4 linked regions of the Nothobranchius furzeri genome follow. The protein of the gene in region 1 interacts with the protein of each later gene in a pairwise test. Links are inferred from orthologs where the notes say so. Each region holds a gene or a part of one and is shown in the gene's direction. Other genes may lie near its edges.

Region 1 (7,927 bases):
GACTGAGTGGAGGTAAAGCGGGGGGGTGGGGTGGGGGGGATAGAGTGGAGCCTGGCCTCTCGATGAGTGGGAGGGGTACCTTGGTCTCTGAGGTCCAGCTGATTGTGCCCGAGTTCTTCATCTTCCAGTATTTGATGAACTTGGTACCAGGCTCCAGACGGGTGCCATCAGGCAGATTTTCATCCAGAAACAAGGCAGCCATAGTGGGCACCAAGGACGAGTGCGAGACCCCGGGACCCCTAGTTTCAAGTGTACAGAGCATTGTTGAAAAAAAGCCCTGGCTTCTTATTACACGCATCTCTTTTGTTTCTCTATGAATAAAAAAAAAGCAGGACCCCCAGATTTTTCTTTTTTTTTTTTGCAGCTCAAAAGAATTTTTTCATTTTTTGTTTTTAAAGAAAATCTATGCAGCAGCAGCAGTTTTCACATTGAGGTAGTTCCAAAATTTGCCACCACCCCAGAGCAGCCAGCGATACTCATACAAACTAGATTACAAAGATTCTGATTAGTTTTCTTGGGGAAAAAAAAACTTTGCATCCATGCTGGGTTAGAAGTACCCAGCACTGTCGGACGCCCTTCCAAGGTGGCGCTTACTCTGGACTGGAGGCCTGGGGGTCAGGGACCGGGGCTGAGATGGGACCTGGGACTGTGGAGGGCCCTGAGGCTGTTTCTGAGGCAGCAGCAGGTGACATGGCTGGGACCTGGATGGAGGCTGAGGCCATGTTTGTCAAGGTGGCTGTGCCTGAGGTAGAGGGTCCACTCCACTGCAGCCCCCTCTTCTCCAGTCTTAGCTTCTTCTTGATTTCCTTCACTTCTGCTCTCAGCTGCCTTCTTTCAGCTTTGAGGCGCTGTCGCTCGGCCTTGCGCACAGTCCTGTCTCCTCGCCTCGGGAACCTGGTTTGAAATGTCATCAGGAACACCTATTTGTTGACTATCAAAAGTTTATTTTTCAAAACAAAAACACAAAAAAAAAAACCACATCCCCACTCAGTAATCTAGCTGCTAGAATAAATTGCAATCCTGCCTTGACTTGATTTATAATCATGTTTTTCTTTATTAGTGAAGATGTGACAACCAAAAGGCAACAACTTTAAATTACAACAAGAAGTAGACAGATGATCCTCAGTTTAAAGTTTACCTAAACTCTCCTGACATTCCATGCTCAGGAATGGAGAGAGGTGTCTTGGTTCTTACGAGGCTGTGACTGGGGTCGTGGCTGTGTCTGCACATCTCACAGAGGATGCAGGAAGGACACACACTGCCAGGAAAAGACAGAATGTATGAAAACATGATGCATGCTAATAAAAATCTACCCCTTATAATACAAAATGCTACATCATGTTGTTTTCTTGGAAGTCTTTCATGCCTACCTGCATTTATAAGCCCCTTCAGAGGTCAGTTTGTTGCAGGTGCTGCAGTTTGGGGTGTAGCCAAGCGATCCATTCGAAGCAGAGGGGCCCAATCCGGGTTCCACAAGACCTCCGCAAGCACCGCCAACCTCATGGAGTCCATCTGAGGATTTGTGGGTACAGCACTGCCCGGAGAAGTCGTTGCACATCTTCTCCACTACCTCCTTTACAACTTCATCCTTAAACTACCATAACAAAAGACTTGTTAGCTTTAGCAGAAGCTAAACACATTAACTCACAGGAACTGTTTTATTTAAAGAGCAAGTCACCCCCAAATAAACATTTTTTGCTGATAAACTAAATAAACGAGTGTCTAATCGTGCTGCAGACACGTGTCGTCAATAATTTGGCACTTCAGCGCATCTTAGTTAAAATTTAAATGTTCTGCCTAAAACTGGCAGTGTTGTGCCGTTGTCAGGTAAAAACTCTGCACTGTATTCTAATTTAAATCTGCCACCGCTATTGGCTAAGAGGTATGCTATGATGTAAACTGGTACGTTATGATGTCACAATGCTGTCGTGAGCCTGTGTATTTGTTAGCAGCTCCGCCCTCTCGGTCTGCCAGGCAACAGCATTTGTTGCATTTTTCAAACATGAAGTGGGAGTGGAGTAAGACTCTGGTAGGGGTTGACTTGCTCTTTCAGTGTGCTCTAACCTTTTCCATGTACGACCTGAACCACATAGGAGGAGGCTCATCTTCGGGCCTGTTCCCTTTGTTGTCTTTTACCGCTACCTGTACATAAATACATCATACGTATGTCAATGAAACAACACGCCGAGACAGAAATTGCCAAGACGATTTGTCCTACTTAGAAGTAAAAATACTATTAAATAAAATTTAAAAATTGCACACAAAGCAACAAATAACTAAAATGTGTTGTTTCCTTACAGTTTCACGCTCTGGGGTGACTTGAGTGCCTTTTTCCACAGTTTTGACTCTTGATGGGTAAGGGGGAGCAGGGCGGAGGTCTCCTTTAAGCTCCTTCACTTCTGTCTTCAGAGGACCTCCACAGGCCTGTCCTTTCATCTTATACACGTTCATGTGTAACTGGTTCCCCTGCTTCTCTGCGCTCTGTGGAGATGCAATAACATCACATAAAAGTTATAAAAGGAAAAACACACAAGAGAGGAACGTGTTGTTTAGATTTGGCTACATCTCGATAAGCATGCTCCTTTGTCTTTTGAGTCACTAATGACAAATTAGTTGCATGGCAACCAACTAAATGACACTAGGGTCACCTTACCTTGATGGCTTCTTCATATTCATCTGAAAAGCAAACAAAAACAAATGAAAACCTACATATTCTGTAGGACATGCCAAAATAATCCCAAACTATGTTTTCTTACCTTGACTGTTTATGCAAATCTGAAGCAAGAAGATAAATAAAATCATGATTAATTAATTATGTCATCTTTTTAAATGCAAAACTTTCGCCACTGGCCCATTTTTGTCTTATCATTGCCGTTTCCATTTCTTACATTCAAAAATAAATTGCTTTATAAATGTCACAATCTTTTTTGGACAGCTATGGTCACAAGTTTCTTTACGAATTGAGACTGACAAAGCACAACTGATTAGGTAAACACTGCTGATTGATTTGAGTGAATAATTGGCATTCAAAGCTCTTCTGTCAGAATTAGTTTTCAAACTATTTTATAAACAAACTTAAACCCAATTAAAACACATTGTTTTAAGTTAAGAAACGAGTAATAGCAATCTAATAAGATATAAAAGAATTGTTAATTATTTGAAAATTAAAACACATTTTAAATAAATATTTGTAACAATTTATTTAAAAATAAAGTCTAATACTTCCTGACTAGTGGTCATACTGTATTTTAAAAGCATCTCACCTCTTCATTATCTTCATCAAAGTATTTGACTTGAAAGTAGTTGATCCCAAACGATGCTTTGATCTGAAATATAATGTCGAAGAGTTCGGGTCAGATTTACCTATATGGTATTAAATCGATCATTCATCAGACGGACTGTGACATCAATAATAGAAGGCCTTCACAGGAAAAAAAATACATCGAAAATAGAAATATATGTGTAAAAATAAACGTAGAAGCCCAAACTAAACGTATTATTTCCCGCAGCTCTTGGAAAAATCGGGTATTTCCGCATATCCCGTTGACAGTATCGATTGTCCTTCAGGTGCGCTGCTGCTCGCGCATCTAGGCCGTGTCTGGGCCTGCTTTTCACCAAACTGCGCCAGCTTTTAGCCAGCAGCCGCTTACCCAGGCTTCGACGGACTCCCACTCCAATTTGTCCAAATCCTGAGCCAAAAACCTCTTTACATTCCCGCGGAAGTTGACCTTGATAGTGACTGGGAGCCCCATGACAGCCTTCTACGCTTTTTTAACTGAAACCATTTGCGACGATAGCGGACAGTATGATCCCTGTTTAGCTCTAGACTGCCGTTTCTTGTTTACATCGTCAGCTGCGTCGAGAAAATAACAGTGGCGTCTCGCGCAGGCGCACTCGAGCATCTGTCGCGTGCTGTTGTCGTCATTTGTAAGCTGACGTGAGTGTGGCTGAAAAGCAAGGAGCCACACGTTTACTGCATATGCCGGTGGGACAATCTTTACTTACGTATTTGATCACGGAAGATGTCTTCACTCCTCAAGGTGGACAATGAAATCAAAACCAAGGTGAGACTAGCGCGAGCGAAAGCTCCAGTGAAGGCTTTACTATATGTTATTGTTGATTGGTAGCATGTTAGCCACATTTGTAGCATGATATGCGCCAGTTTGCTAACAATTAACGATTGCTAACGTGCTTGTTTCCCGCCTGCTACCATACGTCTGGGAAACATTTTAGGCAGGTGCTGGAAGAGATAGATGATACGTTTTTCTGATGGACGATGTGAGGTTCCATTTTAATTTTCTCACTAGAAACCAAATATTGCACCGCTAGACCCACATGCGCCGAAGGCCTTAGCTACCACTGGGCTAACTCAACGTTTAACAGACCAATCGAAGTTCTTGTTAAACCTTGATAAAATCTAAACATCAGAATTCATTGGATACTTTGCTTCGAATTGCACGTAACTCGCTTGTTTTAAGTCCAGGTTGGAAACGAGTATTCTTGTCTAATCTTATCTTATATATCTTATTTTATATACAATTTTTAAAAATGTTTATTTTTTTCTGTTAGACACCTGTACTCCAAGTTCTAACAAACCAAGAGTAGACTTTTCTTTATATGTAAAATAAACTGCTTTTCCATATATATATATATATATATATTTACAGCGCCTTGTCTGGTTGTAATGCCATGTTGAATGCGCTTTATAAATAAAATGGTATGGTATGGTATGGTATGGTATATATATATATGTGTGTATGTATGTATATATATGTATATACAATATATATATATATATATATATATATATATATATATATATATATAGTGATACATTTAATTTAGCTTTTTTCATTTAAAGTGTCATATGATTTAGTCTACTTGTCAATTCTGCCACCTGCTGACATCAATCTGTACTTTCATTCTTAAAATGTCATCTATGTCTAATGTTTCCCACCTCAATTAGTAATTGTAATGTTAAATGTGATTTCAGTATTGGCCACAATCACCCACTGCCCAATAATCCAGCTACCCTAATACACAACAATACACAACATAGGTCATTTTGGTAACATATTGTGACGTTGACACTGAGTTCTTTTATCTTTCCACTGTCAGTGTCTGCTACACCCTCCGTCTGTCACTTTCGAGTTTTATCAGCTCTGCTTTAGCAGTTCAAATGTTAAAAAAAAACTATTTCACATCAGTTTCGTGGGCTCTGTATTTGATTAAAAAAATGGAATGACTTCTGCATCATTTACTGCATTGACGAAACCAAAACACAATCTTAATATCTTCTGAAATGTAATTTTTTACTCGGTTAATCAAAAAAGGAACATTTTTTTATGCAACAGAATATAAATGGCGATTTCCTCGTGTGTGTGTGTGTGTGTGTGTGTGTGTGTGTGTGTGTGTGTGTGTGTGTGTGTGTGTGTGTGTGTCATTTGAAAATGTGAGACAAACCTTTATCGTGTAACACCACAACAACCTCTGTCAGTGTGCCCCAGAGCAGCTGTGGCTACATAGTAGCTCATTACCGTCAGTGTTTGAATGGATGAATGATACACTGTAGTGTAAAGCGCTTTGGAGTCCTTACTATGAAAGGCACTATACAAGTGCGGGTCATTTATCATTTACAACAGAGTTCTCACATGTCAGTGGTTGAGAAAGTTCAGAACTTTAAAAGGGCCCGTGAGAGCTGCAATATGTTTTAAAAGGTTTTATTAATTGGTCCTTAATAGCTAAACATAGTGCTCAACTAATACATTCTATTCTATTTGATCGTTTAATCTCACACATAACTTGTGAGTTTTAATTTAACCAACTGTCAAATGTTTGTTTTTTAACTGTACGTTTTTTCAGTTTGTCATTTTTGTGTTTGCAGGTTGATGCTTTCAGGGAGCGAATCTCAGCAGAAGTAAGTGGGAAAACTTGTTTATTTGTGGGGAGAGTTTGACCGACTCATCTTGAGGGGTTGGTTGTAGAACATCTGCAAAAAAATGTACATTTGTTTTTTCCAGGCGGAGGATCTAGTAGCAAATTTTTTTCCAAAGAAGTTGCTGGAACTTGATCACTTTCTCAAGGTAAACTGGTAGTTTTTACTTGTTAAAGAGCAAGTCACCCCGACCAGATTCTTACTCAACTCCCACTTTCTGTTTGGAAAATGCAAAAAATGCTGTTGCCTAGCAGACCGAGAGGGCGGAGCCACTAACAAATACACACACTCACGACATTGTGACATCATAATGTACCATCTAACATCATAGTGTACCTCTTAGCCAATAGCGATGGCAGATTTAAATTCAAATTCAGTGCTGAGTTTTTACCTGACGATGGTGCATCACTGACAGTTTTAGGCTGAATATTAAAATTTTAACCAAGATGAACTAAAATGCCGAATTATTGACTACACGTGTCTACAGCACGATCAGACACTCATTTAAGTAGTTTATCAGAAAAAAATATGTTAATTTGGAGTGACTTGCTCTTTAACAAACATTTCATTTCATGAGTTGATTTTGTAACAAAACTGCCAAAAGGCTGCACATTATGTTCCAGACACTGAATTCTATAATGGAAAACAAATCTGGTCTTTACCTTTCAGGATCCCTGCATAAACATCACCGAGCTGAAGGAGATCCACTCAGAGATTAACCTGACGGTGCCAGACCCCATCTTGCTTTCAAACCTTAATGACGGATTGGAAGGGGTGAGCTTTACTTTCCACACTAGTTACAGATAAAAAAAATAAATAAGCTGAACATCTAATCTTGCTGGATTTGTTTCACAGCAAAATGCCAAAAAGAGAAAGCTTGAGGATGGAAGTCGTGAAGACATTGGTCAGTACTGTGTGAATGGTCAGATGCTCATCTTTCTGGATGTTATGTCTGAGGCCTAACAGTTATTTAATTATCTTCCAGTGACGGGCACAAAGGTCTTCGTCATGCCTGGTGGGATGATGAAGTGCAACACAAACCTTGTGGAGCTTATTGAAAAGGTCAAGCCAGAGATCAGGACACTCATAGAGAAATGTAACACAGTAAGTCATCCGTGTCTGTCTCTTTCAATGTGTGTCCTTAAATGTCAACCTTACTGGAAAAACATTTTTTAATGATAATTCTTATTATAATTGGTCACTCTGAGATTTTTATGCAGGCGAAACATGAAAATGGTCTCCTACACCTATCTCCTGCATTAGCTTCTGATAGAAAATAGACGGTGAAACTCTAGGATTAGAAAATCCTGACAGATCTACGTCACCCTGTCACTTAACATTCATGGACTCACGACGGGGAAGGCTGTTGTTTTAGAGTCCAGGAAAGGGCAGAGAATGGCTTCGCTAGTAGAAGCTAACTGTTAGCATTAGTAACTCCACCACATTCCAGAACTCCTCCAGGCTTGTGTTATTTGTGGAGATGAAACATCAGTGTTGCTAAACAGAGTCACTGGTAGAATCGCATTGCTGTTAGCCAAAGAGATACGAGATGTCCAAGTATTTGGAAAAAAGACTCCAAATCCTGCTGTGTTCAGCTCCGCTTTGATCTGGCTCACTTCTAGATCCTGAAACAGGCACACTGGAGCTTTTTTTTCTTCAGAGCACAATTTACAAGGCATTCCTGCCTACTAGAGACCACCGCAGATGTATTAAAATATGAGTTAAGTTGATCATTTGTATATGTGTTGGTTTTACATCCTGACTAGCCACACCTCACGTATCACTGATGCTTTGTCACTCAAATTGTTTCTTTTTTCCCCGCAGGTTAAAATGTGGGTTCAGCTCCTCATCCCCAGGATAGAGGATGGCAACAACTTTGGCGTTTCAATCCAGGAGGAGACGGTAGCTGAACTCAGAACAGTCGAAGGAGAGGCTGCGTCTTACCTCGATCAGATTTCAAGGTCTGCAGAGGCTCCAAACATATGGATTTAT
Region 2 (7,230 bases), on another chromosome or scaffold:
TTCCATTTTGTTTCTGATACAGTACAGCCCCAAGGCCTTTGCTGGAAGCGTCTGTATGAACAACAAATGGGAGAGAGAAATCTGGAAATGCCAGAATAGGTGGGTGAATCAAACAATCAATCAGCTTCTCAAGAATTTGTTGATGGCCTTCTGTCCACTCAATTGGAGTGTGGGATGGCACTACTTTTATCTCAGTGTAGCTTTGTGATTTTTTCCCTTTACAGGGTGGTCGGCTCTGGTCTTTACCTGGCCCTTTGGTCAGATCATTCAGAGGGGCAGCAATGCGGGAAAAGTCTCTAATGTACTGACGGTAGTAGCTTAGAAGTCCTAAAATTTGCCTAAACTCACCAACAGTTTTTGGTTCTTTATCTTTTAAAACACGGACCGCTGCAGTATCCGAAGGATCTATTTTATTTCCCTCTGCTGATACTATTCTTCCAAGATAGCGGATTTCAGTCTTAAACAGCTCACATTTGCTGGGTTTTAATTTTATTCCATGTTGTCTGAGTCTTTGCAAAACTTTTCGAACATCACTGACATGACTTTCAAATGTTTTACTGAACACGAGTGTATCATCCAAATATGGGACGCATATTTTGTCACGAAGCCCTTCAAGGCACTCTTCCATGCAGCGTTGGAAGGCCGCTGGTGCATTCATTAGCCCAAATGGGATCCTATTCCATTCATATAACCCCCAGGGGGTGACAAAAGCGGTCAAATGTTTACTGTCTTTTGCCACAAACCCCTGGTGGTATGCCTTTCCCTGGTCAAGCAGAGAGAACATGGTGTTTCCACCAAGACCATCCATAAGGTCCTGAACTCTTGGAATTGGCTGCCGATCAGGATGTGTTTTTCGATTCAGTTCCCTGTAGTCAATGCAAAGACGCATCGAACCACACTTTTTCCTGACACAAACGACAGGCGAGGCATAGGACGAGTATGATTTCTCAATCCATCCATGCACAATCAGATCAGTCAAATAGTCCTTCATTTCATCATATAACGGTTTAGGGACTGACATGTAAGTACGGGCGACTGGTTCTGAATCTTTTAGCTCAATTTTTAACTGAAGCTTCTCTATACACCCAATGTCATTGTCAGATCGAGAGAAAGAATCTGACTCCTCCTTTAACATATCACGTACAATCTGTCTTTGAGCCTCAGTCAGGTGACTGAGATCAATAGGAGGCTCCCACGGTTCTGTAGAAGCTTCCCGGTCCTCACTATTGTGAGTCTGGATATCATTTATGCACACGGGTAGCTGCGAGTCATTTCCTGTGTTGACTGGATACACAGATATGACTGGCTGTGCAGTGTCGATAACTACTCTTTTTGTTAACGTGATGTCGCGATCTGTGGGGTTTTGTACACTAAGAACAATATTAGGCTGAACACCTTTTCGTACATTAAGCAGAGTGTCACAAAACTGGAGCCCCTCTGGCCATAGTGGGTTCCCATCAGGTTCAAACACCAACATAGTGTCCTCTTTGAATGGTCTGACGTTGATTCTGCATTTTACTTGGAGAGTACTATGGCTTGGCACACTCATTTTCGAACATGCTGTTTTAACCAGATACTCACATGCTCGTTCCACCCTTACCGCTTTAATGAACGCCTTCTCATTCCCCCTTTTTAAAGTTGGGAAAGCCATTTTTACACTTTTTAAAAACCCCTCTTTTGCTTCATTGTTGTTCATTTCAGCCTGACCATTAGTAATAATGTGTTCAATAACATTAAAACCAATAATGGGGCGGGAAAGTTGGCTGCCTTTCATAACAAGCACTGGGACATAAAACTCTTGCGGACCAGCTGCTAGTTTAAACAACACTTCTACCCATCCTACGTATGGCATCTCTGTGCCGTTGGCAGCCTCAACTTGTAGATCACCTGGGTTAACAATTTCTGCTATGTCCCTGAGTTTAACATCTGGAATGTTCTCAGCTTTCCATGCTTCATCAACTGCACAAACTTGCGACCCAGTATCCCAGAGCGCTTCTGTTTTCTTTTGTTGTAGGTAGCAGCTAATGAAACACTTCTTTCCCACCAGGTCGACTACTGTAGTGTCTTTCTTTGAGACACTACTTTTCTTTTTCCCTGTCGTTGTTTTGCATAGTTGTGTCTTTTTAACGGTTGTTATGGGTGGCTTACAGGTCTCTCTGTGTTCTGGCCAATGACTCTCCTGGCATTCTTTGGAACAGTAGAGCATCACTTTGCACACTGAACATTGTCCAAATCTTTTTTCTCCTTCCGTTCCTCCACAACTGGCACATTTTAGGGACCTCTTGGTGTGTATGGTCACTCCCTGTCCCGCGGGGGCAACCCTCCCTCGTTTAAAGGATACTCCCTTATAGTAGCATGCATGCCTCTGTTCCCTCTGCAGCCAGCTTGGAAATGTTCACTACTTCCACACCTGTAGCAATGTTGGCAGAAGTTTTCTCCTTGCTCCTGGCATGTATAGCACCTCGGTCTGGCACGTGGCACCGGGTATTGTTGTGGTGCAAATCTTTGTTGAAACTGGGCAGTTCCTTTCATCAATCCTGGATCAGCTGGACCTTGGTATTCCTGTAGAGGCCCTCTCTGATGATGAGGAACCGTTGCACCCTCTCTGGTCCAGGTGGTAAACTGTGGGTGAGTATTTGACATGTGATAGGGATAACCATACTCTGGTCCTTGGCGCACTGCAGGTTGTGTATTATTTTTCTCTTCTTTGTTGTGGATGGATTCCCTGATCTGTGCAACCTCAGTTTTGAGGTCCTTTAGCAAAAGCATATCTGCTTTAATTTCTTTCAGGTCTGACAGAAAATCGGTGGGGAGTGTAGTAACATTTTGATCTTCCACAGGTTTCCTCTTACTACCTGTGTCACTGGACTGGACTGCATGCACAGCAGTAAATCTCTGTGTTGTGGCTCTCTTCTTATCCTGTCTTTCTTTATCATTAGCACAGGCGATATTTAGAACTTCAAGGAGTAGCTCATCTGAGGTGTTTGGTTTCAACAAATGTGGTTGGAGTTCAGTCTTTATGCAGTCACTTTGAAGGCCAGTGAGAACTGTGTGCATAAACATACTTTGTACCAGTGCCGGATCATACTTAAGACCAGATTCAGCCTCTTGGGAAGCAAACAATATTCTTTGTCGCAGATCCATTGCTCTAATAACAAAGTTCTGTGGTGTTTCTCTGCTGTTCTGCACTTCTGTGGTAAGTTGTTTGTATAACTCAGTTGCGCTTTTCTCTTGATAATGTGAATGAAGGATTCTCCTAAGAGTGGGAAGGGACAGATCACTCTTTCCTTCCAAGTAGCTGCGCAGCTGTAGACCAGGAACTATTGCCCTTATAACAGCATCCACTATCTCTGACTCGTGGTAACCTTTGCTGAGACCATTCTCTATTTGGCGGGCCAAGCTGGAAAATGTTAGTCTGTCCTTTTGGCCGGGGTCACCAATTTGTCCTGAAATCTTGAAGTCTTTCCTCCATGAGCCGCTGTTTATATAGGCAGGAGCAGCCTGGACCAATCCGGTTTCAGTGTCCTTTAATTTTTTATTGGCCAACATATGCATTTCAGCTTCTTTCTGTTGAACTATGAGTTTTAGTTGTTCTAGTTCTTTGCTCAAGTTCTCCTGTTCCTCATCTTCCTGCACTGTTTTTATCATGTCCAATAATTCCAATAGTACTGACATTCCTGCATCTTCTAGTTGGCTCAGTTTGTCACTTTCAATATGCTTGCTGATCAGTGAAACAATAAAATTACGACTTTTCCCTATGATGTTTTCATTATTTGTTCCAGAAATGTCAAGATAATTACATATTTTGATCAGTTGGTCGCTGGTAAATTGGAAGAGGGCTCCTTTAATTTCAAACTGTAGACTTTCCACTTCTGAATCCATTTTTCGTTTTTTTTTTTTTTTTTCCAAAGTGTTGAGGTGCGCTGAAGATTAGTGTTTTAGCCAGTTACCGCAGAGCTGATGCTTCCTAGTAGCTTTCTTTTTTAGCACCTCAGAATGCACAGTCCTCTTGGTTTGGCGTCACCTTGCTTGCAGCTCCACCCTCCACTACCCGGGTTGTTAATGGGATGGTTTATGTGGGATGTTCTCCTACACCGTAGGATTCCAGCCTCGCAACCACGATCCCAGCGGTGCCTCCAAATGTAAATCCCCTGAAAAGGGGAGTAAATGATAAAAGAAACACGGACACGTTATTCCCTCTGCTCAAACGTGTATTGAATGAGCCAGGAGGGTCGTGCTCTCTTCTAAGGCTCACTAGCGCTAGACTCCCTCCGGTGGCCACACTTCGTTACTACAACGACTAAATTGCAATGAAGCTTAAGATGCATAACAGAAAAAGTACTGACAAACAATGCAAATGTAAACAATAATGAACCCGTTTCTTATTATTCATTAAATCACACATACTGGTAAACACAGTAAACAGTAATTAGAACATTTCAACCCATCACAATTGCACGTGACTTATTATAAGGGAATTTGTTCATGAATTGACTGATTCTTATTTGGATTTAATTGATTGATCCTTCCACCCAATTCTGCTAAATGAAAAAAACATAGCTTCTATCTTTAAATGGCTTTTAAAATTACAAAATAATTTGCTTAAAAAGTTGTAAACTTGCGTGTACTTCTCACTTTCATGGAGAATATCAGTAAGTTGATCCTGGCTCTGTTCTCGTCTACAGGACAGCAGGCAGTGAAAGTGGACAACCAGTTTAAGGTGATGTGTGTGGTTCTGCACCCGGACAGCCCAGATGTGTTCCTGTGTGGCGGTTACAGTTCAGTGGTCAAAGCCTGGGACTCTCGCTGCTGCAAGGTCAAACCCATTACCCTCCTTGGATATGAGACATGCAATTTTACTGCCTCTTGTTCTAACATGCTTCCTGCTTCTGCTTTTATTAGCTACATGCTACTTCTATCTGTTAGATGATTTGCTCTGGACTTTATTGCATGATGCTGTTGCATGCACAAGAACACAACAAGTTATTTCATGAAACGTTTAAAAACAAACTTTAATTTAATCCCAGTCTCCTGCTGTAGATCGTTCCTGTGAAGCTGCAGCCTAATGTTGCTATTAAGCCTAATGGCCTGTTTTATATGATAATCCTGCTCACCTCCTCAGAATCTGAAGGCTCACATGTAATTTCTCCCCGTCAGCCAACCGAGTCGGCTCCCAGCAGGGTTTTAGATTTAACACAGCAGAAATGCTTCTGCCGGTAGGCGTCAAAATGAGCTGCAGACGAAGCGAAGCGCAGTTCTCAGAAAACAGGCTGTTAAAGCTCTAGTTCTCAGGCTGGGTGTCATTTTTAGGCTTGAGCTGTCTTGCTGTTGGGTAAAAGTACACCAACATATTGTCTGCACCAATATCAGCTCACCCACCCGGAGACCCAACAATTAGAGGGGAGGCAGATGGACTCGGGAGGCTTTTGTGTTGTGTTAAAGCTCCCAGACAGGAGCACAAGTCTAACGCTACAGAGAGGAGGAGCTTGGTTCGTGTGGCAAGTGGGGTCAAAAGGTAAAACCAACTCCCTCCTCCCCGTCTGGCCAACTTCAGTTTGACCAAACCACTTAACCGAACATGGATCATATAATCAGCTCAAGCTTTATTTCTAAAGTGCCTTACAGGCACAGGGGTGACACCAAAGCGCCGTACAGACATGTATTAGTAATAACAGGACAAGGATTAAAACAAAAATTAATTTATTACAAAAATAAATAAAAATAAATTAAAACGGCATACAAATCGCACTAATAAAAGAAAATACAAGCAGACTAACGGCCACGGGATAAAGGCCAGATCAAATAAAAAAGTCTTTAGCATGACCTTAAAAACTGTCCCCGATGGTGAAGCACGCACATTAAAAGTGTAGCGTCATGAATGTCCTGTTTATGACCTAAAGGTCATGATCTGCTGCGTCTGCATGAGCAGAGACATAGACAGGCGAATCTACATGAGATAGTGGCCAAGGTCTTTCATGCACTCTGCTCATCTGAACTGCTTCACCTTTGTTACCAAGCGAGGACGAAGAACTATTTTGATAAATACATAATCAACAACTTTGTTAATTACCAAAAATAATGTGAGCCCAATGTTCAATCAATCTGTGAAATGACAATGTTGTTACTTGATATTATAATCCTGTGAACAGTAGTATTTTACAAGTTATTATAATCTTGGACATTTGCACTAGACACTAAAGACACATTATGCTAAAGTCACACAACACATTTCCTTTTGTCTGATCCAATCAGAACCTTCATTTCTGGCTAGGCGTGGTTATCTGTGGTGTTTGTATAAACCCTCTTTTGGCATGTCAAATTCTGATCCACCAGTAAACCAAAATATGGCAATTATAAAAACTATCCCACGCCACCTTTTCTTCAGTTCAAGCTAGGGTTGTCACGGTAACCGGTGTAGCGGTAAACCCCGGTAAAAAAGTTGACAATAATAATAACCGTCTTGTTTTTAAAAAATGTATTATCTCGGTGGATTACCGTGGCTGCGGTGTAGGCGCGGTGACCCTTACCAGCCACCGTATCATCTGCTGAAGTTGCCGGCGGAACATGCGCACTTTGTTGTTTACAACCAAAACTTTCTTGAAGCTAAAGCTGAAATAATGGCCAAAGGAGGAGATGGCAGCGCACAGGACATTTATAATCCCTCAAAGAAGACAAAGTGGGAAGTATGGGCATTTTTTGGATATTTGAAGAATGCCGAGGGACAGTTGATAGAAGACGGCTATCCTGTTTGCAGCACGAGCAGAAAAAGTGTCTGTGAAAGGCAGTAACGCTTCAAATCTCATGACACATCTGTGTGACCATCATCCACAACTCATGTCAACGCAAGGCAAGCTAACGTTAGCGTTTTAGCTAAAATGCGTGATCCAAGGATTTGGGTTGAGGGAGAAAGCAACGAGTCGCTATATAAAGCAGCCGCAGCGCCGCTACCTGCATATAAACCGTGTCGTGGACACCCCCATGTTGAAATGACGCTATGCATTACGGGGCTCCCAGGGGCAGATAAGAGTTGGTCTCTCTCCGAGAATAATTATGAATTTAACAATGATTACTGCCTGGTGACATTTTCCCAAATCTGCAAAGCTCACTGGAAGGGCACAAACCGAGGACAATATTTTCCTGATACAGGGTTTGTTACTCAAGTAAGGGTAAAAAAAAGTATCTAATTAGAAGGGAACTTGAGTACTGAGTATCATCTGATCAAATATTTTT
Region 3 (8,006 bases), on another chromosome or scaffold:
CTTTTAAACACTTACTTAGAATATTGTGACTAAATCAGGGGTGTCAAACTCATTTTAGCTCAGGGGCCACATTGAGGGAAATCTAGACCAAAGTTGGCCGGACCGGTAAATTAAAAAAAACTTCAGATTGTTTTCTTTGTTTTAATACAATCAATATAAAACAAAGCTGGAGCCTGAGGACAGGGTATCCAAAATAGTACGACACCTGAAGTGTACTTGAAAATTTGAAAAAATAAAAATAAAAATCAATCAATTAAAAAAACATTCCTTAGTGATTCAAAGAGCTTACAGATCACATGGCTAGATCAGTTTCATGCAGCACTTAAAATATATTTGACTCATTTTACTTTACATCTTTTAGCTTTCACCAGCACATCAACATCAGAAGTCACATCCTGAGTGGCAGCCGACTTCAGGATGTGATTCAAGTTCTTGTGTGAGCCTTGAGCGCAGCTTTGTTTTATTTATACTCATTACAGAGAAAACTTGCTCACAAAGATAAGTTTATTTTCACTCTACATTGTAAAGTATGAAAATAAAGTTTACACAACCATCTCGCGGGCCGGATCCGGCCCGCGGGCCGTGTATTTGACACCCCTGGACTAAATACTTGGAAATAAGGGGAACAAGCGAATCTAGGTTTTGTATATCATAGAAACATTAAATTTTTGCTTCCCAACATACTCTGGTTAAGGACTCAACAAACAAGATAAGGTATCTGCAGGTCTAAATACAAAATAATGTGCTGGCAGGTGGGTTTGTTGTCCCTGGACACATCTGGCTGGTGCATGTTGATATTCGTGGTACATGTTGTAGTAACTGGAACGCACTGACAAATAGTATGTAATAAATTTGCATCAGATGGTTTGATGGGAATTTAAATTATCCAAGTTAAATAAACAAAAATGAGACTATTCCAGAGAGTAATTGTGAAAATGGCTTCCATTATTACTGATTTCATCCAGGTTGGTAGAGCCTGCTCAGGCTCCGCCTCTCCCAGCAGACAGGTGCTATCCTCAGATTCAATAGGAATCCTCTGCTGTGACTGGAGGATTTAGTTGCTCAAAAACCGTAAACCTCACCTCCTGCAGTCCAGGGGCAACCCCTAAAGTAACTGATATCACCAAAGGACAGTCAGTGTTTACCTCCATCCATGGAAACAGACCCATGCTGTTGTCTTTTCACACGGGATTCAGGATGAAACAGGAATCCGGTCTTTTTATAATTTGTCTTGGTCCATTTTCAAAGCTCGTCAAATTTAAAGGGTTCCCATCACAAAAGACTGTCCCTCCTCGGTAACCGGATAACAATAAATATGAGCCATGACGATTGCCCAAACAATCCTGTTTTCCATTATATGAGGGCTGCATTCTGCATCTTTAGGCAGAGCTGACAATTAGTGAGTCGACATGGACGTGGACATATGCACTATTTCCTCATGTGGACCATGACACGAGACAACTGTTGTGATCAGCTGGTGATCACACACTTGTGTTAAAGCCTGACTCTCCACTTGTTAGATGCTGACCTGCTAACTAAGGCAAGAGAACATATGGTCTCAGTAAATTTCAGGCAGAGTGAAGGATTTAAGGCTTAGGATTCATTAGCAGTTTAAAGAAAGGAAAAGAGATTATTTTAACAGCCACAAGGTTCATGGAGCTCAGAGCTTCTCAGAGCCAGAGAGGCTCAAATCTGCGATCAGTAAGTGTTTCTGCTGCAGCTCATTACAATCAGAGCTGCAGGATGTCCACATGCTGTGTCTGAGGCGCTCTGCCCAGTGAGGCTGGTAATTTGGTTCAGATAGAGGAGCCGATGTTTGTTAAGGACACTAATATTACAACAGAACAGGATCAGCAATTATTATGAGAGTCAACCCCATTCAAGATGGCCCCTCAAAGCTAACAGCTATAACCCAAAATCATATGATCTCAGCACTGAGGGCATTTGCCCAAAGAACAAAGGTCTTTATTTTTATAATTTACAAGGAATAGTTCCCCATAGTTTTTTGAGGGGAAAGTTCAAATCTCTTCTTCAGATGCAGATGGCATTTTTTTATTTCCTGCATTGTTGATCAATAATATTAATGTCAGAACTTTGGTGCCTAATAGTAGCTGGAGTGTAGTCTCAGTCATGCAGGACGTGGTCATAATGGAGGATGTGATGATTATTTGATACATGTCAATTCTTCTTCTAATGGCTTTTTAATTCAGATTTTGGATTATAATAACTTTTCAGGTGAGTTGATGTTTATTTTATTTCATGTAACACTGAACTTTGTACCAGTTTATTAAAATACAGCTTTTTGTTTAATTACATTTATGTTTTTTCATCCACAATATCCTCAGTGAACAATATTGTGCTTGTTCTGCAATATAATGTTCACTTTTTCCACTTTTGCTATTTCTCACTCATAATATTACAAGAGCAAAGACTTGCAACCCTGATAAAACTTGTCTAACAACACAACTATAGATAAAAAACTAGCTAAACACCTGAAATAAGGACCAAAAAAAGCTTCACTTGAAATTGCTATTGTTGTGTCAAATTACATAGTGTATTCATTTTTTATATAATTCATTTTGGAGCACATCTCCAAACCTTAAACTTGTTTTTTTTTTAATGATTATTATTTTTTACTTCAGGTGAGGTCATGGCCCTAACTTTGGGAAACACATAAAACATGAGCGTCATTCCAAAATAAACAAAAATAAACAAACCAAAAACTATGTGTTGTCTCTTATTTACCTCAAATGATAAATAAAACAGAAATTTTTTTTCAGGAAATTATGAATTAAAAGTTTTAATAGCTGTGGGTATTTACATAAGTTATTGTCCACATTTTAAAAATTGTCACCTTTTCACTGTAGCTGCCCAATCAATACAAGTGCTTAACTGACAGGTCTTCATCCAACCAGAAAAGCGCAAAAATCTTGTCACCCAATAATAATTAGGAGACTTTACTAATGGGCGGGACTTAAACGTTTCTTCTGCCAGCATTACCTGCGTTTGGCATCAAAAACACGGAGGAAACTTTTGTATACGGTTCGTGTTAGTCAGAATGAATGGGACAACTTTCTCCAACTTTGACAACCAGGAACATGTCCTGAAATTGGGAGAGACGTTCGAGAAACACCCCAAAAGCTCTTACCACACAGTGCGATGTAAGTGTTTTTTTATTCGTCGGTGACGTCTGGCTTTTCACTGTAGCTAACAGACGCATGCTAGTTAGCATTAAAGCTAAACATGCTGAGATTACCGTTTGCCATCCGGCATACAGTTCTATCGCCGCGCTCGATTATATTTCTCAGTGTGCTCCTTCAGTGTTCTGCTAAATTGTCGGCTTTTATTGTGGAACTGTCAGTTTACGTGAATAATAAAAGCCATTGTTGCCATTAACCGTGAAAGTGCCAGCTAACGTGTTAGCGCAGCAGCGTTAGGTAGGAATTTAGCACCACCTTGTGGCTGGAAGAATGAACTGTATCGCCAAAACATGTATTGTCTAGTAAAATGTAAGTAAGTAAGTAAAAGTTTATTTATATAGCGCCTTTCACAGATATAAATCACAAAGCGCTGTGTTTCATGTTTCACTCGAGACCTTTTTCTACCTTTATCTGTGACAGATGACTTCAAACCAGCATCGATTGATACAGCATGTGAAGGAGAACTTGAAGTTGGCAAAGGAGACCAAGTCAAAATTACTTTACCAAATTTAGAGGTTAGTAAAATAAAACAAAAACCTTAGAATTTCTGTCTCTTTATTCAAGACAGAACAATTACAATGATTAATATATTTTACCGTTTTCCTTCAAAATACATTTTTATTTATTTCAAATTGTTTTTATTACACTCTCAATTAAGGGCTGGGCGATATGGCTTAAAATCAAAATCACGATATATTAAGGATTTCACCTCGATAACGATAAATGGACGATAACTACATGTATGCACAGAAACAAAAGTTGTCCACTAGATGGGGCTGTCACATGTATTGAGTCATATTTTTACATGACTCAAGGTGGTGCAGCTTAAAGGGACATGAACGTCGCCAACCCACACACATTTTTTCATTTTTTTAAATTAGCAAATTTATTGACATGGGAAAAATTCTCGTTAACAGTCAGAAATTTTGATAACGATAACTTTTCGATTTATTGCCCAGCCCTACTTACAATAAATTACAACTATCTTTAGCACCTTTTCCTTCCAAGAGTTAAACTTTAATATTTTTAATAAAAACAGACACGTATAATTTAATATTTTGGTTTTCCTTTTTAAGGGTTCAAGTGCTCCTGTTACAGTCTTCAGTGGATCTAAGAGGCCTTACATGAAAGAATGCATCCTCATTGTGAACCACGATACAGGAGAGTACAGACTAGAAAAACTCAATAGCAACATAGCCGTGAAGAAGACCAGGTGAGATAAAAAGGCTTCCTTATTTTTTAAAGCATTCACTATTATGATTAGTGATTTAATGCAAACCAATGTGTTGATTTTTTTTTTTTAGAAAAGCTTTTCTTTTAGCTGTTGAAATTAGATTTGATCCCTTCTAAATTCTTAACCAAGAAAGATTTGCACAGAATTGGCAAAACACTTAATTGTTTTAAGTGTATTTAACCCAAAGTAATGAGTAGAATTTTTAATTAGAAATGTTCTTTATATATATTTCCCCTCTTTTATGTGACATTCCAGGGCTGAGGGCAGCAGTAAAATCCACTCTCGTCTAGAGCAGCAAACCAGTCGCCTGAGTCAGCAAATGAAGAGCAACAGCAGCGGCACGAGCAAAACCTCATCCAGCTCCAAGAGCTCTCCCCCCAAAGAGAAAGCCTCTTCACCTTCACCGATGGATGACATAGAGAGAGGTGACACAGCTTTGTTTGTGTTCATTAAGGCTGTACGTCTTGGTTGTGGTTGTGCTCCATCAATATGCTTATTTCTGTGTGTCTGGAGCAGAGTTGATGGCAGAGGCGCAGGTCATGGATCAGCTCAGCAGTGGCGACAGCTCATCAGAGTCCAACAGCTCGTCCTCCAGCAGTGACGACAGTTCAAGCAGCAGCGATTCAGAAGAGGAGCAGACTCCTGCAGCGCCCTCGGCCAATCAGAGCATGCCTATCATCAACACCAGCTCCACCAGTCGCCTCCAAGAGAGCGGGGGAGGACTCATGAACACACTCAGTGAGTAACCTCGGTGACCCTGCAGCTTTTGCCCACATATGTGACTGAACCAGTTCTTTTTTTAAACACTAAGTTGTTGTGGTTGTGCATTATTCTTGCAGACACACATGGATTTACTAAGTGAAGGGATTACAATGATCTGCCGTATCTCCTGTGTTTTAATCACGGCCTTTTTTCAAACTTTAATGTATGCTAAATACATTTTACAGTTGAGTGTCTTATAGAAAGAACTGTAGATGTTTTACTGTTGTCAGGAGGTGAAGATTTCAGAAAGGTTGCACACGTCAGGGAAATTTCCCAACACCTGCTGGAATTTCAGAGTCTGAGGCTGAACCACAACAAAACCCTGCTGCTGTTATTATAGCTGGAGGTTAAACTGCCATTAGGGCTGTCGCAACAGCTGTTATGACCCTTCATCTCTTGACTAATTTAATTATCAGTCAACTCTTCAGGATTTTCTGTCAAAATAGAAAAATAGTTATTTTTGTTTTTCTTTTATTTTGAAGTCATTTGTTCACCACAAACAGGAAATGTCCTTGTTGGGGTTAGGGCTCTCCTGTTGGAAGATAAAATAGGACTCATGAGTATATTGTAATATATAAATTCTATATTTTATATGTGGTTTTGATTGTAAATGAACATAGTTGTTAACATCTATACAATTAAATGTGCTTAAACTCAGAGGTTTATTACACACACTTTAATAACGGACTACGGTGTGTTAGGGTTATGGTTGGTTTGGTACTCTGTGATTTATTGACAGCTGTGTCTGGCCCAGATTGTTTCTTCGTCTTCAGACTTTGTGGGGAAGATTCTTAACTTTTTTATTCTGTCATGAAACCTTTTCTGCCACAATGTGGACAACTCGGATACTCTCTTCATGGCAGTTAACCAACGCCTTCTGTATATTTTATCAGCTGGAAACCTGTAACTTTGACATTACTGTCCTTTCGTCTGTTTGTGCAGCCCGCGGCGCTGCATGTGTTAACCAAGCTGACAGATTTTAGTTAACCAATTATTGACAACTGACAGATAACACTGTTGAACCTTCTTCTGACCCTCCAGTCTGAGGCTGGGAGGCTCGTACTCTTGATGTCACGTGTCAAGGGATTTATAGCTACCACCATGACAGTGTGCAGTCTTAACACTTCTTCAAATATCTCCTTGCAGAGAATGACCTCCAGCTGAGTGAATCAGGAAGTGAAAGTGACTGAAGAATCAGGATGAAGGCCAATGTGAGGAAGACTGGATGAAGGAGCTTGTCACAAACCTGTTCACCAGGATTGGTCTTACTCATCCACTCATCTGAGTTTTGTCTTTCCACCAACAAATCTCTGTAGTTTTCTGGCTCTGCTCATGCTGTAGTGATTCCTGCCTCTGGAGTTAGAAATGCATCTCCTCTAATGGCGGTGCTTTAAACCCACCAGAGGCAGGACAGCTGTCATTAGAGTCTAGACTCTTATGCTTCTGCTTTTCACGTTTACATTATTGAGCTTTCATTTTGAAGTTTCTGCTAGCCTTTTTTGTTTTATTTTGTAGCACTAAGCAGCAGAAATTAAAAAAATATATATAATTTCACAAAATATCCCTTTAAACCATCAAACTTGACTTGTGAAGAATGCATATTTATTAATTTATCTCTTGGTCTTTACCATTTCCAAACAATACTTCATTTTTTTTTTGTGAGAGTCGGTAAAATATTTTGAACTTAAGTCTACTTGCCACATATCAGAGAACATCGTCTTAAAAATCAAATATGGTGTTTGCTACAGTACTAAATGTTCATCAGAAAGCCAAAGCAAGATGGTGAAATGATTAATAAAAGCAGTCGACTGTAGCGGGAGAGACAGCTTTTATTCTGCGAACCTGCACTCATGGACTCTAATAGGGTCTTGCTTTGTAGCTTTAAACCTGTTATACTTGAACTTAATTATGTATCCTTCTACACACATTTGGCCAGTAACTAACTGGTTCTGTGTTTAGCTCCATATGGAAGCAACTGGAAGCCAGATGTGTTCTTACTGCATCAGAGTGAGTCTTAAAGAACTGGAAATGCCTCTTTAGTTTGTCTCAGGAAGTCAACTGCAGGCCTTCCTCTCTTGGTGTCTTTTCCATAAGTGTCTTTTGTCCTCTGACCTGTCTCATCAAACGGGAAGCTGCGGTTTCTGTCCCAGCAGTGCTCTGACACCGACTGTATAAACCCAGAGACGGGGGTCCAAAAAGCCTTAATTAAAACACCTGTTGGTCTTAAGAAAATGAACACTTATTTGTTAAATATTTGAGAAGATTTTTGTCAAATATTAAAGATTTTAATTGTTTCTTGAACCTACCCGTTTGTGTCATAAATGTTCTGATGCAACTCATGTTGTGTAGCACAAATACAAGTTGCTCATTTATCTCACTATTTGCATCGCCAAGCACTCGACGCTGACATAAACATGCTGCAGCCTGGAGTAATTAGCCCTCATCATCTGATCATGCTGGACAAACTGAAGGCAGACTGGGTGAGCTCTCTCTTTATATATATATCTATATATATATCTATATATATATATATATATAATATATATATATATATATAATGTATATCGATGGGTGAGCTGCAGGTCTTACTGGATAAAGAACAAAGTCACTTCCAAAATTCAAATCAACGTTGCATCAATCAAGGACTAATATTTTGGCGTCTTAATCAGTCCCTTTTTCTCTGTAGGAATAATCCTTTGTAACTATAAAAAAATAAACATGACCTCGCACACACTGTTCCTGTCCACCTGGCCTGAGGGACGGATTCTGGCAACAATCAGACTCACTAGAATGCATGATATTTTAGTCTT
Region 4 (7,932 bases), on another chromosome or scaffold:
AATTCATGTTTGTGTGGACTTAAGTAGGTTCATCAAATATTTCCATCACTAAAGCTTTGTGGTGCTAACCTTCTCTTGCTAAAGGAAACAGGAAGCCACATTTAGAGCATGCTGAAAAGTAGCAAAGACCCTTCAGTTTCACCACAGTGGACTCGTGCAGGGACAAAATATTAATGTGATGCAATTAACATTTATATAACAGACCCTTATCGTGAGTTTTACTGTTTCCAACACAAAAATCCAGTATTATTTGATTCTGAAAGAACTTAAGTTTCTAACTCTTCCAACTTTATAAATCCAGTTTCCTCTTCTCCTTCTATGGTTCATCCTTTTCCTTCTTATTCATATTTTCAAGAAGCCAAAAAAAAACACATTATTTTAAAGCTTCATTAAAATAAGGAGACTACAATATTCTGTTATGAATAGCTAAGCACAACTGTGTAGTACCCGCTTTCAGCCACTTGGGGGCAGCAACTCCCCATCTTCCCTTCTAGAGTGCTTTTTCTAGTTTTGGCCACAAGAGGGCGCAAACCCCCCATTCTTTCAAGGCAACAAACCAGAGCTGGACTTGGCACCTTGACTCAACACAACCAGCATGTTAAACAATGGAACATAAAACAGTTTCAGGGTTTTTTAGCTAAATAATAAAAGGGAAAGACCCTCAGAACCATTTCCCTGTTGCCAACACCATAGCATTTCACTTTGAAAGTGTGTGGGGAAAGGGTTTCTGAAGTGCTGTAAACATGCATGCATCAGCATCCGTATGAACTGCAAAACACCTGTTACAGTGAACAACATGCAGACACGCCCACCACGCTTAGACTCCAGTGTCAGGAATGTGCAGATGAGAAGAGCGTTCACTCTTGTCTTTTCCTGGAGCCACCATAAATGGATATTTCAGGAAAGATCCCTGGTCTCATTGCGCTCCAACCACATGTGATTAAGGCTTATATTGACATCTGCAAGCAGCAATTTGAGCTCCTGAAATGTGATTTTATCCACTTTTTTTAATCTTTTAAAAACCTTACACGTCTGTTTTTACCTGTGGTGCCACTTCCACTTTTGGCAGAGAAATTGGTTTTAACAGACTTTTATCCTTGAACATTTGGCTCTCCTCTTCCTTCATGATGCACAACACTGGTTTTAAACAATTTAAACATCTTCTGGGGCAGGAGGCACCTGTTTGGGATCTACTCAACAGACAGGGCACCCGTGCCCTGCCATGTCCACAACCCCCACTGTCCACCACGTGCCCCTGAAAAATAAATGCTTCCCCTCAACTCAACATCAGAGCTGAATAAGCTCAGAATTTATTTACAGAGTAAATGTTACACAGCTTATAAATATTTTGTAAGAAAAGTGAACACTTTCTTTTAAAATGTCCCCAAACCCCTTGTGGTCCTATGATGGCTTCCCATCATACAGAACTTGTACATTTTTCCATCCAGTCCAAACCTGACATGTCAGTCTTCCCTTAGAGATTTGTGAGTTAACAGTGACATCAGGAGCTCTGTGGATGTGCAGGTCTGATGAATTTGCTCTGAAGGAAAACCCTCGGAACACACAGTCCTTCCTTCTTGTTTACCGTCTCTCTCAGAACGTACTCGTTGGACACAAGGTCAAAGCCCGCCTCCAGAAACAGCTTAGCCAGAAACTCTGAAAAGTTGAAAACAGCAAGATTCCAGGAGGAGGAAAAAAAAAACAAATTCATATATAATCAATTCAATAATTTTAAATGTGCAACATGTCCCCTCTTTCACTTGAGACTGAGTTGACTGAACAGAAATACTCTGCTGACCTTTGGAGAAGAAGTAGGACCTTGTTCCATCCTGGCGAACGTAGAAGTTCTCCCCAAGCTTGTTTCCAGATTTAAACCGGAGCATGGCGTGGTCGTACATGCCATAGTCCCTGAACAAGACAACACCACCGGGCTTCAGCACCTTAAAGCCACATGTAGATTGTTACATCGCTGAATGCCAGTTTTGTGCAGGTTTGCATAAAAAGTGATTTGTACTCAAAAAAATAGACTGCAGTAACCATGTTTGACCACAGGATGTCACTCTTACTTACTGCACCTTTAAGTTCCACCTGAATTGAGTGAATTGTGCGTGGTGGTCTCAGCTCTTAACTCTACCTTGCTGATGTTCTCCAAAACCAGCTTCATCTTGTCGGGATGGATGGCCGACAGGACAAAGATGAGCGTGACAACATCGACGCTGCCTTCTGGGACATTTTCCATCAGATCATCTCTTGTTAAGTCACACTGGAAAGCACAACAGCGCTCAGTGCAGTAAAGAGGGTTTTCCTGATTAATAAAAACAAATAACAAAACAAATGTTTACATCTTTAAATGCTGTTTTTTTCCCATTTGGTTACTCTTAGCCCTTGAAATCTCCTGTTAAGGCAGCTGAACCGGGTTTTACCACAAATGGCATCAAAGGCAGCTACACTGCAGCAAAGCTTTTTTTCATTTTTATTTTTAACTTCTAGAGCACTAAGATTAACTAGACGTGCTAGAAAAGGTGGATTTCCACAAGTACACAGTTAAGCACCTTACTTTGACAAAATCAACTGCCCGAGGAGAAAAGTCACAGGCATAAACAAAGATGTTGAGGTCATCCTCCAGAAGGGGGAAGATGCAGTTCCCAACCCCGCATCCAGCTTCCAGCAGAATCAGTTTCTGGGACTCGAACTGCAAAGAGACAGACCACGTGACCCAAAATCATCACTTTGTTGTCCGTTTGGCCTCAAATCACTGTGAAACGTTGATATTCTTTACATAAACTAAGTTCATTCTACACTACATATGCTAAGTTTAATCAAACACCCCTTATCCGCTCACCTCCCGACAGGCTTTAAGCTCCTCAAACTCTCTGGTGGTCCAGTGTCTGTCTTTAAAGAAATTCGTGGTGTTTCTTTTATAAAACAAGTCCCAATTTTTCTGCGCTTCTTTCTCCAGCTTAATTTGTTTGAAATCAGATACCAGCGTCCGCTCACTGCTCAGTCTGTCCCGTTCCTCTGGAGTTAAATCTCTGACAGAGCAAAGTTTTGTTTCTCGTCCCCGTGACTCCACCTTTGTTTCGGGTTCCACTTCTTCAATGTCTTCAACTTTGCACTTTTCATTTGTCATTAACGCCATTGTTGTGTTAGATTGCCGTTCTCTCTGATAGTTTGTTTATAAAATAAAGCTTTATATAAGCTTCAATAGGAAGAAAAAGGAGGTAATATTTTTCCACACTTGGCATCCATCTTGTGCAGCATCGATGACACCGGTACCGGTTGGTGTTATTAAAAAAAATACCACGGTGGTCAACGCTTTAAAACACAAAATTTATACAAAATATAATATAAATTTTGACTGTACAATTTTATTGTTTAAATAAGTTACAAATATTTTTAACAGCTCTGAAATCACTTACACCCAGTCTGGTTTTCCGTCGGTGGTATTTGATGCTCGGACCAAAGGCAGTGTTACGCCGAGATATGTTTCCTCACAACAACAGTTTCTCCTCCTATTTTAAGCGAGTTTCCCCTTTAACTTTGTTGTTTAAACCAATTATCTGATAATAAAATAACTAAACTGAAAACTTTTGATAGTTTAATTAAAACATTAGTCATCACAGCATGGCAAAAACGTACGGAAAATATTACTTTTTAAAATTATTTAATCTGTGTTCGGTAAAAATAAATTCATACTTAAGTCAAATACTAATAACTGAATAATTGTTCAATGAGGTAAACATATTTATTTTCCAAGAATTCAGAACGGAAAACCCGCACACTGATATACGAGTAAACCGTTTTTCACTTAACACCGAAAAAGCTGCAGTCGCGTGACGTAAGTGTTGTTTTGCTAAAGGTTAGCATCTGCAAGCTAACTTTATCTTTATTTAGATTATCATCTCCGGTAGTTGCTGGATATAGCTCTGTTTTTCGGTTGTAACACAAATGTAAAATTTAATCCGGTTTCAACCAGACGAAGTCATGAACGGAAACACAAATCCACTGCTGGACAAAGAGGAACATGTTCTGAAGCTCGGAGAGAGCTTCGAGAAAAGGCCAAAATCATCTTTTCACACCATCAGATGTGAGTGTGAAAGAGACCACTTTGTGTTTCTAAAAGCTTTTAGTAAAGTCAGCTGTTGGTTGGAAGTAATTAGCTCACAGTGATACAGCTATTACATTCATTACGGTTACAGAAGTACACAATAAATGAGAAAATTTGATTTACATGTATGAACTGCAAAACACCGAACTGAAAGAAATTGCTGAACAGAAATGTGTTTATTATGTAAAAAATAGAAAGTTAAATTGTGGGGTTTAATGTTTTTTTTTTAAGTCCTTGGTTATTATCAATTATTAACTGATCATCATTCAACTTTTACTTAATTTTGCTTTGTTTATTTAAACATTTCCTAAGCCAAGTAGACAGTGTGACCAATAATTAATAAATGCACATTTCACCCAAATACCAGCAGCACATTATTTAAATATTTCCCGGTTTGTAAATTAATGTCATATTAGCAGAGTCAAGCAAAGTTATAATTTAAAACATATAAGGGTGATTAGCTAAGTTTGAATCTCTTTCATTTTTAGAAACTAAATAATTAATAATAATAAGGGATGCACCAATATGAATTTTTTGGGCCGGTACCGAGATTAGTATCACTGTTATGGCCGATAACCAATATTGGCCAATACCGTTTTATGCATCTGAAATCAGCAGATTTTGAATAGACTGAAATTATGCAAGTTGAATTTTGGAATGTTTTGCTTTATTTCTATGAAGTTGAATTTGCATTATGTTATACACACACACACACACACACACACACACACACACACACGTACGCTTCTGGTAAATGGTAAATGGCCTGTATTTGATATAGCGCCGTCTAGAGTCCTGGAACCCCCCAAGGTGCTTTACAACACAACCAGTCATTCACCCATTCACACACACATTCACACACTGGTGGGGATGAGCTACGATGTAGCCACAGCTGCTCTGGGGCGCACTGACAGAGGCGAGGCTGCTGAGCACTGGCGCCACCGGTCCTTCCGACCACCACCAGCAGATAACATGGGTCTTGCCCAAGGACACAACGACAGCAACAGACTGAGCGGGGCTCGAACCTGCAACCTTCCGATTACAGGGCGAGCACTTAACTCCTGTGCCACCGTCGCCAGATGATTACCATCACGGTCACATGTCTCAACAATTACACATCATAACTGCCCCTTACCCTCTGAAACATACACAAACGGAAATAAGATGGAAAAAATATCAGTTCTTAAAATCGGCCCAGTTTTAATTGTCGGACTGGTATGTTAAAAATGTACTAACATCGGCCAATACTCGATATTGATGCAGATATATCATACATCTCTAATAATTATATAATTTACTTCTTTTTCTATTTATTTAAGTTTTTCTAAGCAGTGAAAGGACTTGATTCATGCCTAATTTATTTATTTATTCTTAGATGACTTCAAACCAGCATCGATCGACACGAGCTGTGAGGGAGAGCTACAAGTTGGGAAAGGAGATGAAGTTACCATAACACTACCTCATATTCCAGTAAGGTTGCAGAGACGTAAACAACAAAGCACCATTCTCACATTTGTGTCAGCTGGCTCACAGTTATGGTTATTCAACATTATTAATGTTATTAAGTGTCAATCAAGTGCTTTCCCTCTGCTAACAAAGTCAGATAGCAGCTTAGGTTGAGTAATCATAGTTGATTATGTTTAAATGTAGTTTCAGTTTCATCTAGTTACATCAGGAACCAATAAAATAAACAAGTAAAAGCCCCTTTGTATGATTTTATTAAGAAAAATCAAAGGATCAAGTAAAGTTACATACTCTTCCAGGGCTCCACGCCTCCAATGACGGTATTTAAAGGAAACAAGCGGTTGTATCAGAAGGATTGTGTGCTCATCATTAACCACGACACGGGGGAATTTGTCCTGGAGAAGCTCAGCAGCAGCATCCAGGTCAAGAAAACAAGGTGGGAGAATTGTATATTACTTTTTCACACTTGATAAATCATTCATTCTAAAGTGGGGAGCAGAAAGGAGCAACAGTTGGTGAGTCTGCCGTGTTTATTTTTTATAGGGCGGAGGGCAGCAGTAAGATCCAGGCCCGAATCGAGCAGCAGTCCGTCCGTTCCTCCCAGACAAGCTCTCAGTTCCGAGCCCCGACCAAACCAGGGGCCGGGAACAAAACCTCACCCTCCCACACGAAGGACAACCCGTCCCCAGAGCCTCAGCTGGATGACATCAAACGAGGTGAGAAGGTTCTGTCACAAGATGGAACTGGTGTGTCTCAAACTGATTCTAGCTAAAATATCAGCTGGATATTGTAACTGGTGTGAAATGAACCCAGAACCAATAATGTCTCTGACCTGCTGCCGCTGGCAGAGCTGCGGGCGGAGGTGGAGGTGATCGAGCAGATGAGCAGCAGCGGCAGCAGCTCGTCCGATTCAGCCAGCGGCTCGGGGAGCGGCGACGACAGCAGCAGTAGCGATGGTGAGCACGACGCCCCCCCGCAACCGCTCAGCCAGACCTCCCCCAGCTGCACCCCCATCACCAACGGCGGAGGAGACCGGCAGCAGGGCAACAACCAGCTCATGAACACACTCCGTGAGTAGCTCTGCGTAAACGCTGATTCTCCTGTTTCTGTTTTTAAATCTCTGCATTTATCAGTTAGTGCCTTCACATTTTTATGTGTTATTACAGGATTTCCTCAGATGATACATTCCAGACGAGTTAGTTTACTCACTTAGATTATTACTTTTCTTTTTCCTCCACAGGAAGCGATCTTCAGCTCAGCGAGTCGGGCAGCGATAGTGATGACGACTGAAGTCGCTCTCCTCCTCCACACTCCTCCTCCTCCTCGCTTCCTGGTTCTTGCGTTCACTTGCTGTGATTTTTGACCTCAGCTTTAAGTTTCTGGTTTGACTGTATTTTTTTAACATTTTATTTTATTATAGCCACCCAGAAACCTTAGGATAGCATTTTATTAGATGTGCATTTTGTTTTGTATAGGAAAAAACAGAGTTTTACTTTAGGATGTAGAAGATTATAAAGAGTGTTCAGACATATTTTAAGTACTTATAAAAAACACTAGTTTTATCTGCATAATTGATCTATTTTTCTCCTTTTTTATGATGAGGCTAGTATGAAAAAGCTTTTTCCCTGTAGTGGAAGTCTTCTCTCCATGCGTATTAGTGTTTTATTAGTTGGATGAAAAAACAGCAAAAAAACAGAAAAATCAGCAAAACTCTGCAACAAGTAACAATTTTAAAAAATGCACTTTTTTCCTCCCAAGTCTTAACAGAGAAGGTGCCGATTATTGTGGATGGATTATTTCATTCATTCCCAAAACATTTCCTTATAACTAATTTGATAATGTATATTTTTATTAGTCTTTGGGAATGTCCGACGTTGCTTTAGGTTCTGAAACAACACGTCAAAATTCAACTCATGCTGGTTAAAATTTTGTTGAAATGGAATAATTAAACAATAAATGTCTTGCAGTTATTTTTCCGGCCACAAGGGGGCAGCAAAAGACCCCGAACCACAAATGTGTTTTTACTTTTTCTGGTGACCTTCTAATTTCAGCTTTAATTTGGTTTCTAAAAACATTTTAGGAAGATAGTTCTTATTTGATTGAAACATCAAAAAATACAAATAAACCCTAAAATAATGCACAATTTTTTAGAGATGAATTCAAAACTACGGGTTCAGAAAAGCTAAAATGTTTTGTTGAATTCTTTTAATTAACCACATCAGAGGTCAGATAACAAGCAGTTACCATGGAGACAAGAAATGATGACAAATCAGGGTTTCTGATGAGAAAGAAAACAAATGTAGTTAGTTTCAGACAAGTTTTTTTTCCCTTTTTAACAAATATTCCATCATTTCTGATTC

Evidence for each region.
Region 2: the proteins of psme3 (region 1) and wdr25 interact in binary tests that used the Homo sapiens proteins (3 or more experiments, as listed by UniProt). The two-hybrid records come from large-scale screens. The link is inferred for Nothobranchius furzeri from reciprocal best matches to the Homo sapiens genes PSME3 and WDR25.
Region 3: the proteins of psme3 (region 1) and eaf2 interact in binary tests that used the Homo sapiens proteins (3 or more experiments, as listed by UniProt). The two-hybrid records come from large-scale screens. The link is inferred for Nothobranchius furzeri from reciprocal best matches to the Homo sapiens genes PSME3 and EAF2.
Region 4: the proteins of psme3 (region 1) and eaf1 interact in binary tests that used the Homo sapiens proteins (3 or more experiments, as listed by UniProt). The two-hybrid records come from large-scale screens. The link is inferred for Nothobranchius furzeri from reciprocal best matches to the Homo sapiens genes PSME3 and EAF1.

The regions. Positions count from the first base shown.
Region 1 is NC_091756.1:48,474,600-48,482,526, reverse strand, and holds the start of psme3 (proteasome activator complex subunit 3), read left to right. Parts: upstream 1-3,892; 5' UTR 3,893-4,022; coding exon 4,023-4,064; intron 4,065-5,884; coding exon 5,885-5,917; intron 5,918-6,020; coding exon 6,021-6,083; intron 6,084-6,604; coding exon 6,605-6,709; intron 6,710-6,790; coding exon 6,791-6,839; intron 6,840-6,920; coding exon 6,921-7,039; intron 7,040-7,759; coding exon 7,760-7,896; intron 7,897-7,927. Other genes in the region: nbr1a (NBR1 autophagy cargo receptor a), read right to left, coding at 80-239, 595-894, 1,139-1,258, 1,371-1,594, 2,065-2,142, 2,299-2,481, 2,654-2,676, 2,757-2,775 and 2 more. UniProt on the Homo sapiens protein: Subunit of the 11S REG-gamma (also called PA28-gamma) proteasome regulator, a doughnut-shaped homoheptamer which associates with the proteasome. 11S REG-gamma activates the trypsin-like catalytic subunit of the proteasome but inhibits the chymotrypsin-like and postglutamyl-preferring (PGPH) subunits.
Region 2 is NC_091758.1:28,450,553-28,457,782, forward strand, and holds part of wdr25 (WD repeat-containing protein 25), read left to right. Parts: intron 1-4,685; coding exon 4,686-4,816; intron 4,817-7,230.
Region 3 is NC_091754.1:31,266,762-31,274,767, forward strand, and holds eaf2 (ELL-associated factor 2), read left to right. Parts: upstream 1-2,975; 5' UTR 2,976-3,058; coding exon 3,059-3,161; intron 3,162-3,620; coding exon 3,621-3,715; intron 3,716-4,276; coding exon 4,277-4,413; intron 4,414-4,689; coding exon 4,690-4,859; intron 4,860-4,950; coding exon 4,951-5,172; intron 5,173-6,342; coding exon 6,343-6,386; 3' UTR 6,387-7,242; downstream 7,243-8,006. UniProt on the Homo sapiens protein: Acts as a transcriptional transactivator of TCEA1 elongation activity. Acts as a transcriptional transactivator of ELL and ELL2 elongation activities. Potent inducer of apoptosis in prostatic and non-prostatic cell lines.
Region 4 is NC_091745.1:66,978,115-66,986,046, reverse strand, and holds the start of eaf1 (ELL-associated factor 1), read left to right. Parts: upstream 1-3,795; 5' UTR 3,796-3,984; coding exon 3,985-4,087; intron 4,088-5,483; coding exon 5,484-5,578; intron 5,579-5,871; coding exon 5,872-6,008; intron 6,009-6,115; coding exon 6,116-6,288; intron 6,289-6,420; coding exon 6,421-6,642; intron 6,643-6,812; coding exon 6,813-6,862; 3' UTR 6,863-7,932. Other genes in the region: tRNA N(3)-methylcytidine methyltransferase METTL6, read right to left, coding at 1,502-1,656, 1,799-1,940, 2,135-2,305, 2,558-2,692, 2,843-3,139. UniProt on the Homo sapiens protein: Acts as a transcriptional transactivator of ELL and ELL2 elongation activities.